Tamandua tetradactyla: one gene and its partners. The protein of the gene in region 1 interacts with the protein of each later gene in a pairwise test. Links are inferred from orthologs where the notes say so. Each region holds a gene or a part of one and is shown in the gene's direction. Other genes may lie near its edges.

Region 1 (3,739 bases):
GGCCCCGCGCCCCGTCCCCCCTCCCGCCCCTTGACCCCAGGCCCCAGGCTCTGGTCCCTTGTTCCCCAGCTCCGCGGCCCCCAGGCCCTTGCCTGCATCCTCCAGCCCGGCATCCCCCGACTCCGCGCCCCTCCCCTCATCCCCCAGCCCCGCATCCCCCGGCACCGTGCCACCCGCACCCCCCAGTCCCGCGCACCCTGGCTCCACGCCCCCCCGGGGCCCTTGCCCGCATCCCCAGCTCCGCGACCCCCGGCCCCTTGCCCGCATCCCCCAGCCCCGCATCCCTGGGTCCTGCATCCCCCGACCCCTTGCCTGCACCCCCCAGCCCCCGGTCCCCCGGCTCCACGCCCCCTGGGCCCTTGCCCGCATCCCCCAGCCCCGCATCCCCCGGCACCGTGCCACTCGCACCCCCCAGCCCCGCGTACCCTGGCTCCGCTCCCCCCGGACCCCTTGCCCGCATCCCCAGCTCCGCGTTCCCCGGCTCCGCGCCCCCCGGCCCCTTGCCTGCATCCCCCAGCCCCGGATCCCCCGGCTCTGAGCCCCCCGCATCCCCCGCTCCGCTCCCCCCGCATCCCCCGGGCCCGCATCCCCCGCTCCGCGCCCCCCGCATCCCGGGGCGGGAGGGCGGCGTCGCTGCCAGGCCAGGGCGGGGCCGGCGGGCGCGCCCTGCAGCCGCCCGCGTCGGTCCGGCGCGGCGCGCTCGCCTGGAAACACGAGATTAATGCGGCCGCGCAAGCCCCGCCCGCCGCCGCGCGCCGCCGCCGCTCTGCGTCCCCGCCCGCTCGGAGGCGGCTGCTCGGCGCGGCGCGGCGCGATCGGCTCGGCGGCCCCGGGCGCAGGCGGGCGGAGCAGCGGACGGCGCAGGGCCCAGGCGCCGGGCTCGGCGGAGCGCGCCGCACTCGTCGGGGCCGCGGCCGCCCGCGCCTTTCAATGGGCAGCTCGCACTTGCTCAACAAGGGCCTGCCTCTCGGTGAGCGGGCCGCGCTTCCGGCCGGCGGGGGGCGGCGGCGCGGGGGGCGGGGAACGGCCGGCGGGCGGGGGGCGCGGGGGCGGGCCGAGCGCGCGCCGCGGGCGCCGCTTTGTGTGCGAGTGCGCGTGCGCGCCCGCCGGCCGGGGGCGGGGCCGCGCGCGGGCGCGGGCGCGGGCTGCTGAGTGCGCGTGCGCGGAGCCGCCGTCACGCCCGGCCGGGTCGGCGCAGGTGACACAAAGGGGCCGGCGCGGCGGGAGGGGCAGCCGGGCGCGCCGGCCGTCGGACCCCAGACCCGGCTGTCGTCCGACACCCAGATCCGGGTCCCCTCGGACCCCAGAGCCGTCCCTTTGCACCCCCAGACCCGTCTTCTCGGACCTCCAGTCCCGGTTCCCTCGGACCCCCAGACCCGGTTCTCCTCGGACCCACAGACCCGGTCTCCTTGGACCCGAGACCCGGCCCACGGCCCTGCGGCCTGGTCCTCTCGGACTCCCAGACCCGGGTCTCCTCGGACCCCCAGTCCCGGTCCCCTGGGATCCCCAGTTCCAGCCCACGACCCTGCGGCCCGGCCCCCTCCGACTCCCAAACCCGGTTCCCTTGGACCCCCAGACCTGGTCCCATTGGATCCGCTGATCTGGCCCATGACCCTGCACCCGGTCCCCTCGGACCCCCATTCCTGAGTCCCTCAGATCCCCAGACCCGGTCCCCTCGGACCCCCAGACCCGGTCCCCTCAGACCCCCAGACCCGGTCCCCTCGGACCCCCAGATCCGGGTTGCCTTGGGATCCCCAGATCTGGCCCACGATCCTGTGGCCCGGTCCCCTCAGACCCAGTGTCCTCAGACCCTGATGTCCGGCGGGGCCCCATTGGATCCCCAGACCCAGGTCACATCGAACCCCAGACCCAGAGTTGCTGCCCTGCAGCCCAGCCCTCTCATAGCCCCAGTCCTACAGCTGGCTGGGTGGACCCCCAGATCCAGCCCACAACCCTACTGCCGGGTCCCATCAGACCCCCAGATCTGGCCTGCAGCTCTGCACCCTAACCTCATCAGACCCCCAGACGCAGGTCCTACCATACCTTCAGACCTGGGCCTACCCGGTTCCAGGCTTGTTGGACCTCCAGAACCTGGCCTGCAGTTTTTTGGCCCAGCCCATTTGACCCCCAGTCCCAGGTCCCACTGGACCCTCAGAGCTGCGTTTCATCTTAGATCTGCCCCCCATCCTCGCCCCCCACCCCCGTCCTGGATGTCAGCCTGTGAGTTGCCCCGACCGGTCCCTGCTGGAGCCGGGCTGGCCTCGTTGGGCGGTCAGCAGAGCCTCCTGCTCTGTTTAAGTCGCCTTCCTGTCCTGGAGCCTCCTGCTCTGTTTAAGTCGCCTTCCTGTCCCGGAGCCTCCTGCTCTGTTTAAGTCGCCTTCCTGTCCCGGAGCCTCCTGCTCTGTTTAAGTCGCCTTCCTGTCCCGGAGCCTCCTGCTCTGTTTAAGTCGCCTTTCTGTCCCGGAGCCCGGGTTGGCGTCCGTTGTGTTTGGAGCATGCTGGGGTGTGCTTTTGGTGCTTCTGCGGCGCGCAAGCAGCCGGTTCACCCATCGACTTGCTTTGCAAGAAGGAGACAGCTCTCCCTCCGCCTGGGGATGTTTACTGTGTGTGACCAGGGGTGGGAGTCAGAAGGCGGTCGCGAGTGTGTTGGCCCAGCACTGCCCCCCGCCCGTTTCCTGTGGGTGGGGGTGGGGGCTGCTGGCCGACCCGGGCCTCTGTGACGTCCGAAGGCGAGGCGGCCGGCCCTCAGGTTAAGGGAGGTGACCCCAGGCTGCCGCTGTCGCACCGCAGCCCAGCTTTGCCCTTAGGCCTCTTGCTTTGAATTTTTTTGTCCCCGGTTTGTGTGTGTAAAATTAGGACGCAGCTGTCCGGCGGGCGGGAGGGCAGCCGTTCCCTCTGTGCTGCCGGCTGGAAGGCCCAGGCATTGGCCCTGCGACGTGGGTGTGTGGGGTGTGTCCGTGTCCCCCCGTGGGTGGAGGGGCCGCTGCTGGGGCACCCCCGCGGGCACCCCAGCGACACAGAGTCTGTGCATCACGAGGCACCTTGGTCTCCCCTCCTGGCATCCGAGCGCCAGCGCAGGGCCCTTCGGCTCCAGGCCCAGGCGAATGCAGGCCTTGCTCTGAGCGGCCCTCACCCAGGCCACTTTGTCACTTGCGCACGGCCCTCCGTGGCCATTTTGCAGTTCCTGGTCGCGTCCCCGCAGCGTGGCCTTCCTCGTGGCAGGAGCACTTCCGGGGTGGAGCGTCCCCGGGTCCTGCCTGGCCCGCCCGCCTCGGCTGCCCCCTCCTCGGCCCCTCCCTGTGCCCGCAGCGGCAAGGTCAGGCGGGAGCCGGGGGAGGGGGCCGCACCTGAGCCGGAGGCTTGGAGACTGGAACCTTCCCTGGCAGGGTGCCCAGCCCGGCCTTTGCCTGGGGACCTGCTTAACCCTTTGCTGCCTGCTGGAAGAAGGGCCGCCCCAGGAGGGACAGGGAACCCGTGGGCGGCCCTGGCTGTGGCCGTGGCCCTGCGGCTGAGCTGGGCTGTCACTCTTGCCACAGGGAAGCCAAACACGTCTAGCTTTCTGGGGTTTCCCTCCGTGGCCGCCGCCCTCCAGGGTCAGGCCGTGGGCCTGGAGGTGGCCGTGCCTGGGGAGATTGGGGGCTGCAGAAGCTGTAACCCTCCGCCCTGCAGCTCCCTCCCTCTCTCTACCTCCCCGTCCCCGTTCTCTCCTGCTGGGGAACCCCGCCCCCGCAGCCTGGTT
Region 2 (3,739 bases), about 39 Mb from region 1:
AAGCCCGTGGGAGGTTTGCCCTGAGCGGGGCCTCCGGCCGCTCAAAAAAGCAACAAGGGGGTCCCGGAGCCCCGGGGCACAAAGAAAGAGCGCGCCAAGAGGATGTCGAACGACCCTGGAAATTCTGGACCATTTAGGCTTGGGGGCAACCCACCGTTCCCCTTTCCCCTCCGCCTTCTTTCCCTGAATCCGTTCCCGTCCACCCGCTCCCACACCACCGATGCCTTTTTTCTTTCTTTCTTTTTATAATTTCAGAGAGTTTTATTTACTCGGCCCAGGAGGGGCCGCGCTGGCCTTGGGGCCCAGCCCTTCCCGCCGCGCCCGGGGCCGCCCTTCCCGCCGGAGCCGGCTGATTGATGGCCCCGGCCGGCCCGCGTCCCCCGCCTCGGCTCGCCCGCGAGTCTAAGGCTGTGTGTTTTGGAAGCCGCGCAGCGGGTTGCAGCACTGTGACGCCCGGAACGGGCAGCGCCGCCCTTCCTTTCCCCCGGGCTCGGGCGGCGGCGCGGCGGCGGGTCCCAGGCGGGTGGGGCGCGGGCCCCAGGGAGGAGGGCGGAGGGCGCTGGGCGGAGGGTGCGGGGATGGGGCACGGGCGGGGCCTCCGGGGCGAGGGCGCAGGGCGTGCGCTCAGGGTCCGCCGCTCCGAGCCAGGGCGGGGGGCGGGAGCTTTTGGGGCGGGGGCCGCGCAGTGCACGCCCAGCCCCACGGCTGCGCCGCGCCTCGCGGGACAGGTTTGGCCGGCGGGGCGGCGCCCGGCTCCGGGGAATAATGACTGTCTGTCAGGCCGTCCCCGGGTGACTGGGCGGGGCGGGGCGGAGGCGGCGCGGGAGGCGGGGGTGGCGGGGGAAGGGCGCAGGGCGGGGTGCGTGTTTGCGCGAGTGACTCGGCCGACCCCTCCGGCGGCTGCCTCCACCCAAGTGGGTGGGGACCCGCCCAGCCCGGGCGGCCGCGGCGGCTCCCTCTCCCCTCCCTGACCCTCCCACCCCGGGTTCCAGCCTCTACTTACCCCGCCAGCCTCGGGAGGCTCGCAGAGAGAGCGGCGCCGGCGTCATGTGACTGCCCGGAGTTGGTGCCAGGAGCCAGAGGGGAGCCAGGAACGGAGCCGCGCGGAGCCGGGCCGGAGCCGGAGCGCAAAGCAAGCGCCCGCCGAGCCGAGCCGAACCGAACCGCGTCTGTCGCACGCGCGCGCGTCCGGGTCCCCTGCGGCCGCTGCCGCTGCCCGAACTGGAGCGCTGACATTACTGCATTCGTGGGGTTTAAGGAAGCCCGGAGCCGGGCCTTTATTTATCGTCCGCTGCGCTCAGCACCGCGGTTCTCAAAGTAAGTCCTCACTCCCTCACTTTTCTTTCACGCCTGACTCCAATCGACCCCCTTTTCGTCGTGTCTAGTTGAATATTTTTAATAGGGGGGTAGTGAATGGGCTTGGGACGGTGCAGCGTGGGGGTGGGGGCGCCTGCGGGCTTGGGAAAGTGCAACAGCTCCTCGCTGCCGGGGGTGGGGGCGGAGAGGGAGGCGAGGGGGAGGAGGCCCCGGGCTCAGCGGTCACAAGTGGGACCGGTCACGGTGAGGGAATCCACGGCGCGTATCCGGAGGTTCAGGGGCGTGGGGCTGCCTGCGCCGGCCACGGCCCCCCAGACAGCCTCCGGCCCGGGGACGGCGCAGGCGGGGCCTCACCTGTGTGGTCCCCGGGCCGCCGCCTGCCCGCCCGCGATTCCCTCCAAAGCCCCAGAAATCAGCGTTCGCCGCGTGTGGCAACGTTGTTTGGAGAAAGGTAGCGCCGAGGCCGCCGCGCGCTCCTGCTCCTCCCCTTCCCGGTTCCCCCCCCCCCCCGGCTCCCTCCCCCCCCCCCGGTTCCCCCCACTCCCGCTCCCTCCCCTCCCTCCGCGGGTGCCCCCAGCTATCCCCCTGCCGGACTGGGCGCGCGGCCGCTTGCCCGGCGGAGCAAACTTGGAGCAGCCTCCAGGCCGTCTGGGAGGAAACTTGGGCAATTGGGAGTGGAGTTAGCATCCCGTTCTCGGTCCAGGGCTCCAGGCGCTGCAGGGCGTCCGGATTCTCCTGGGCAGGGGAAAAGAGCTGGCCGGGTTTGGAGAGTCCTCCTCGGGACCCGGAAAGAACCTGCCGCAGTGCCTGGAAGGAGGATTGCAGTGTAGCTGGAGGCGTATAGAGTACCTTAGGGCAAATGCCTGCAGCTTTAGGGACCCGAGCCAGGTGTGGGCCGAGAAGTGATCCCTGGACCAGCACCCATGGGACGTACCCAGCATTTCAGGCTCTTTTTCTGTGATAGCAGATAATACTTGTAATTGTCATGTCCGTGTCCTTGGCACTTAAACGGGAGAACCCTCTTTTTCTGGTTTAAATTTTACAGTAGTGTACAATAATACCAAACGGAGAACATGTGAATGGGACTTACTTTTAAGTCAGGTTAAATGGAAATTGCTTCCCTTCTTGTAGTCACTAAAATAAACGTTTTCACAGATTTTTTTAACTGATTTTTTTTTCCATTGATACACCCAAGACGCTTTAAATATATTGATTATGTTCTTAAAAGAGTCTGGTATCTGGGGAAAAGTGATCTTCTGACTTCATTAGATTTACCATCTGTAATTACTAAGCAAAATCAAGTGGGGAAAAGGCCAGTTGCTTATTATCATAGGGTGTTCCACAGAGCAGTTTTGCACTGTCCTTTTCTGATTGCTTTATGTATGAATTTGAGGAGAAATTTTATAAGAGAAATCCGTTTAGATGATAGTGAAGACTTGCTTTGGGGTCGGAGGTGGGGAGCAGAAATCTAATAGCATTAATATCTCCAAAATTTTGTGAGTTCGTATTTTTAAAGAAAGTTGACAGATAAGTTTTTTTCTGGCTTGAGACAAGCAGTATGTGAGTTGGCCTTGGGCTATTAATAGGAACCTCAGAGTGTTTGATTAATTTAAACTTTCTGCAGAAACTGATTTCTCTGTTTCTGTATTCTTCAGGGTTTGCTGTATAACCATTAGAAAAATAAAAAAGTGGCTGCTTAGACCACAAAACCTTGTCCATATGAAAAAGCAACATAGCTTTGACAAAAGCTATTGTGTGTTTTTTTTTTCACTGCAAAGTTTCTAAGTTAAAACCCAGTCTTTTGGTTGCTATGGGCACAGTGATGCCTTTTTTTTTGAACCTGTAGTTTTGTCTACCCACAGATCCTTAAATCTCTGGTAATGAAAAGCTGAGTTAAACAGTCAGAGAGTAAAGAGAAATAATAGGAAAGAGCTAGGAGTGGATTTCTCTACTTTAAAAATTCCTAAAAGAAAACAGACCTATTACTATCTTTTAAAAGTCGGTATACAGATTGTATAACAATTTTGGATTAAGTGAAATGTCAGGGATGGAATCACATTATCCAAGGTGAATTTCTGTAGACGTGTGTACATTGAAACAGATGTGCAGCTGTGAGCGTATGTGTCTATAACTGCAGGTGGAAAAGGACAGTGAAAACTTGGGGTGACTCTAGATGTGCCACAGACCACGTCTCGGAATTTAGTTCTGTGACTGAGGGACCCTTAAAATGGATCTAATTTTCAATTATGTGTGGTAACCTAGTTGTAATCTTAATTCTTAACAGCAGTGCTCTATTTTCATTTTCCTCAAGATGCTCTGAGCCAGAATGATAATCATCATTTGATCAGGCTAGAGACCAGCTATTGGCATGGGGGAGAAAGGGACAAAAGAAATCCGGAGGGAGGCTGGTGTTAATTATGAA
Region 3 (3,739 bases), on another chromosome or scaffold:
ATGTGGAGCTCCCTGGGGCCTGGGGCTGCCCCAGAGCAGTGGGGCCGGCAGGGGCAAGGCCGGCCAAACTTCGGGGAATTTAGGAGGAGGCAAGAGGGGAGGAAGTTTGGAGGCCCCCAAGGGCGGCGGTTTGGGGTTCCCCAGGAGAATACTGTTCCTCTGGCTCTCCGCCGGGGGCCCTCTGACGCCGGGTGCGGGCGGAGAGGTCAGGCTAGTTGCTCTGCTCGGGACCCTGCAGGCCAGGCCCTGTGGGAGGGAGGGGCCCCGTGCCCTGACCGGCCGGGTCGGGCTAAGCGGGGCGGGGCGGCCCAGGGAGGCCCCAGCGCGGGTGGCCAGACCGAGGTCTGCGCCCTGCTCCCCGTGGGGCGGCCCGGCCGGGCGGACAGAGGCCTGCGAAGCTCGGGGCCCAGCCGGGCCGGAGGGAACTCGGTCCCTGGGCCAGGCACTGCGCGCCTGCGGCTCTGCTCTCCCCGCGGCTTTGGGCGCGGCGGCCCCCGCGCCCCCAGGGGCCAGGACGGGGCGGAGGCTGGGTCCAGCGGGCGGGCGCGGGAGGGAGTGGGGCGGGGGGGGGGGTGTCGCGGCGGCGAAGGCTGCGCCGCTCTAACAGGTGGGATCCCGCGGCGTGGAGGAGGCGGGCGCGGGAGGAGGAGGAGGAGGAAGAGCAGCGGCAGCGGGAGCCGGAGCAGAGCAGGACGAGCCGCGCGAGCTGACAGCCGCCGCCGCCCGCGCCCAGGCTCGGTCTCGCTCCCTGCGCCCGGGGCCGCTCCCCGCCTCCCGCCTCCCCCGGCCGCCCGCGGGGCGGTCCGCCCCCTCTGCACCTCCGGGCCCGGAGCTGCCTCCATCGCTCCTGCATCCCGGCCGGGGGGAGGAGGAGGCGGAGCAGGAGGCGAGCCGGAGCCGCCGCCGCCAACGCCGCCGCCGCCGCCGCCCGAGCAGGACAGAGCGCGCCGCAGCCCCGCGCGTCCGGCCGCCGCCCGCACCCAGCAAGCAGCCGCGCCGGAGCCACACCGCGGGACGGGCCCGGCCGCGGCGCGTCCCGGCTCGGCCCGGCCCAGCCCAGCCCAGCCCCGGCCCCGGGCGGCCCAACGGCCGGCCCGCCCCCGAGGGCGCCGGGCGCGGCGGGAGGATGCCGAAGCCGACGCTGCTGCTGCGCGGGGGCTGGGAGCGCGAGCGCAGCCCCGGGGACTCTGAGCTGGGCCGCCAGTTCCGGGACTGGTGCCTGCGCACCTACGGCGACTCGGCCAAAACCAAGACGGTGACACGCAGCAAATACCAGCGGATCGCCGAGGTCCTGCAGGGCGGCGGCGGGACCGGCGCTGGCAGCGGCCCCGCGGCCGGCGAGAAAGGCAAGTTCCAGTTCTGGGTGCGCTCCAAGGGCTTCCGCCTGGGCAGCGGCCGGGAACCCAAGATGGGCCAAGTGGTGTATGTGCCGGTCAAGACGGGCTCGGTGAGTGCGCGCGGCGGCTACGGGCCGGTCCCGGGGCGGGCGGGGGCGGGGTGCGGGTGTGGATGTGTGCCCTAACGTGTGTCCCTGAGGCTGTCCGTGTGTCTGGCCCGCCTGGGGCGCACGCGTCCCTGCTCGCCGGTCCGCCCTGGCCCGCCCCAGCCGCGCTCCGGGTTCGGGGCGTCCCTGACCCCTTCGGCGCCGCTGCCCGGGCTGCGGCCGTGCCGGGCGGGCTGTCCCGGGCTGCTCACCCCAGCATGTTCCGTCCTCGCGTCCCCTCCCCCCGCCAGCAGGCGGCTGCTCCAAAGCCCGAGCTTCCCCCCGCCCGCCCCGGGGCTGCCTGTCCCGGGCGCCTCGCGCTCCCGCCCCCGGGCAGGCTGGGCGGTGTGTGTGTGTGTGTGTGTGTGTATGTGTGTGTGTGTGTGTGTGTGTGTGACGGGGGGGCGGGAGTGTCGCGGGTGGGGGGAATGAGCAGGAGCAGCCCTGGGACGTGGAGTCCGTTTGGCCTCCCAGCTCCAAGGGAGGGGGCCCGCCCGGGCACTGCCGCCCGACCCCACCCGGGGCTAGCCCGGGGAGGGGCGGCCCGAGCCGCAGCCTGGCGCAGGAGCAGCCTGCCGCGGGTGGGTGGGGCGCCCCCTCCGCCCCCCGGGCCCCTGGCTTCCCCCTCCTCCCTGGGGCGGGGGCGGCCTGACCTATCCATCCCCTCCCCTCCCCCGTCCCCCGGGCCGGCCCGGTCCCGACGGAGTGGCGGGGGTGGGGGTGGGGAGGGGGCGGGGAACCGCAGCCGCGGAGGAGGAGGAGGAGGCGGCCGGCCGGGCGGGGGCGTCCCCTCCGGCCCGGGGCGCCCTGGAGAGGGCGTGCGGCGCGGGCCCCGCGGCTCCCCCGCCGGGACCTCATTGTTCTGCAGCGGGTGGGGGCTGGGGGGCGGCCGCTCCCGGGGTGCCGCTGAGCTTTGAACTTTCCGTCGCCGAGACCCTCCATTAGTGCGTTCCGCCCCCGGCCGGCCCGGCCGCCTCCCTGCCCCCCTCGCTCCCTTCCCGGCCTCGCCCGGCCCGAGCGAGCGAGCGAACGGGGCCGCCCCGCGCCGGCCTCCCTCCCTCCCTTTCTCCCCCGCTCCCCCTCCGCGCTCCTCCCCCGTCCGGCCCGCCCGCCCCGCGCTCAGCCGCGGCCCCGGCCGGAGCGGGCTCTTCACACACAATTGATTCGGTCGTTACGAAAAGTGCACTTGTCCCCTCCCCCTCCCCCTCCGGAGGCTGCCCGGGCCCGGCCCGCGGGGTGAGGGGGCCGCGAGGGAGGAGGCGGGAGCCGGGGAGCGGATCCGGAGGCGCCTCCCGCCGCGCCCAGGGGACCGGGCTGCAGGCCGCGGGGAGCGGGGAGCCGCGAGCGCCGAGGGCGGGCGGGCGGCACATCTGCGAGGAGCGCTGATAACCGCGCCGATGCCGCTGCGGCCGCCAGCAGCCCATCTGCGCCGCTGCCGCCTCCGGCCGGAGCGGAGACCGAGGGCCGGGCCGAGGGGCGCGCCGAGGCCGGAGTCCCAGAGGGAGAGGTTGGGGCCGCGCCCCTCTGCCGAGCGAGTCAGGGGCTCCCCCAGCCTAAATCAGTGCTCTCCCCCTCACCCAGCCAGTCCGGGCCATTGTCCCCTCTCCCAGTGGAGTCCGGGACCCCTCCCCACCCACGCCCAGGCCATATCATTACCAACTCTCCCACCCGAAGAGTTTGGATCACTGCACCTCCCTAGGTCAAACCACCCCCCCACCCCCACCCCCTGCCTGCCTGTCGGGGACCCACCTAGGTTCTCTTCCATTTTGGGTCAGTGCCCCCAGCCTAAATGTAGTTTTTTGAGGTCAGCAACCCACAGATGGTTGACTGGGCCTATGCACCCCACCCTGGATCAGTGCCCCCAGCTATCCCAGCTTCCAGGGTCATGCCTTCCCACCCCATCTTAGTTATTCCTGCCCTAGAAAGCAGGAGCCCCCACTCCATGCACTCCTGGAGTTGGGGGTGGGGTGGGTGTCTCCCTCCCTGTGACCTGGCAGCTGACGCACTCGGTGGACCTCTCTCCTAGGGAGTGGGCAGCCTTCCCCCAACCCCCAGCCACACAGCTGTCAAGGCAGTGCACACCCCCACCCCCCAGGCCCCGTCCAGATCACATGCAGAAACTGAGTGCCAGGCCTGGACACCAGGTCCTGCCAGCCCAGCACAGAGCTTCAGACCCTTCTCATGCCCGCAGTGACCTGCCCTGCTGGCCCTGTACACCAGGGGCCTCACAAGCCTCCCCCTGGCTCTCAGATGAGT

What was found.
Region 2: the proteins of CTBP1 (region 1) and KLF3 interact in binary tests that used the Homo sapiens proteins (3 or more experiments, as listed by UniProt). The link is inferred for Tamandua tetradactyla from reciprocal best matches to the Homo sapiens genes CTBP1 and KLF3.
Region 3: the proteins of CTBP1 (region 1) and NOL4L interact in binary tests that used the Homo sapiens proteins (3 or more experiments, as listed by UniProt). The link is inferred for Tamandua tetradactyla from reciprocal best matches to the Homo sapiens genes CTBP1 and NOL4L.

What each region holds. Positions count from the first base shown.
Region 1 is NC_135345.1:920,411-924,149, reverse strand, and holds the start of CTBP1 (C-terminal-binding protein 1), read left to right. Parts: upstream 1-880; 5' UTR 881-930; coding exon 931-970; intron 971-1,169; exon of another isoform or gene 1,170-1,198; intron 1,199-3,739. UniProt on the Homo sapiens protein: Corepressor targeting diverse transcription regulators such as GLIS2 or BCL6. Has dehydrogenase activity. Involved in controlling the equilibrium between tubular and stacked structures in the Golgi complex.
Region 2 is NC_135345.1:40,250,260-40,253,998, forward strand, and holds the start of KLF3 (Krueppel-like factor 3), read left to right. Parts: upstream 1-891; 5' UTR 892-1,003; coding exon of another isoform or gene 1,004-1,236; 5' UTR 1,237-1,317; exon of another isoform or gene 1,318-1,757; intron 1,758-3,739. Other genes in the region: uncharacterized protein LOC143663134, read right to left, coding at 1,004-1,236. UniProt on the Homo sapiens protein: Binds to the CACCC box of erythroid cell-expressed genes. May play a role in hematopoiesis.
Region 3 is NC_135327.1:20,508,966-20,512,704, forward strand, and holds the start of NOL4L (nucleolar protein 4-like), read left to right. Parts: upstream 1-1,126; coding exon 1,127-1,447; intron 1,448-3,739.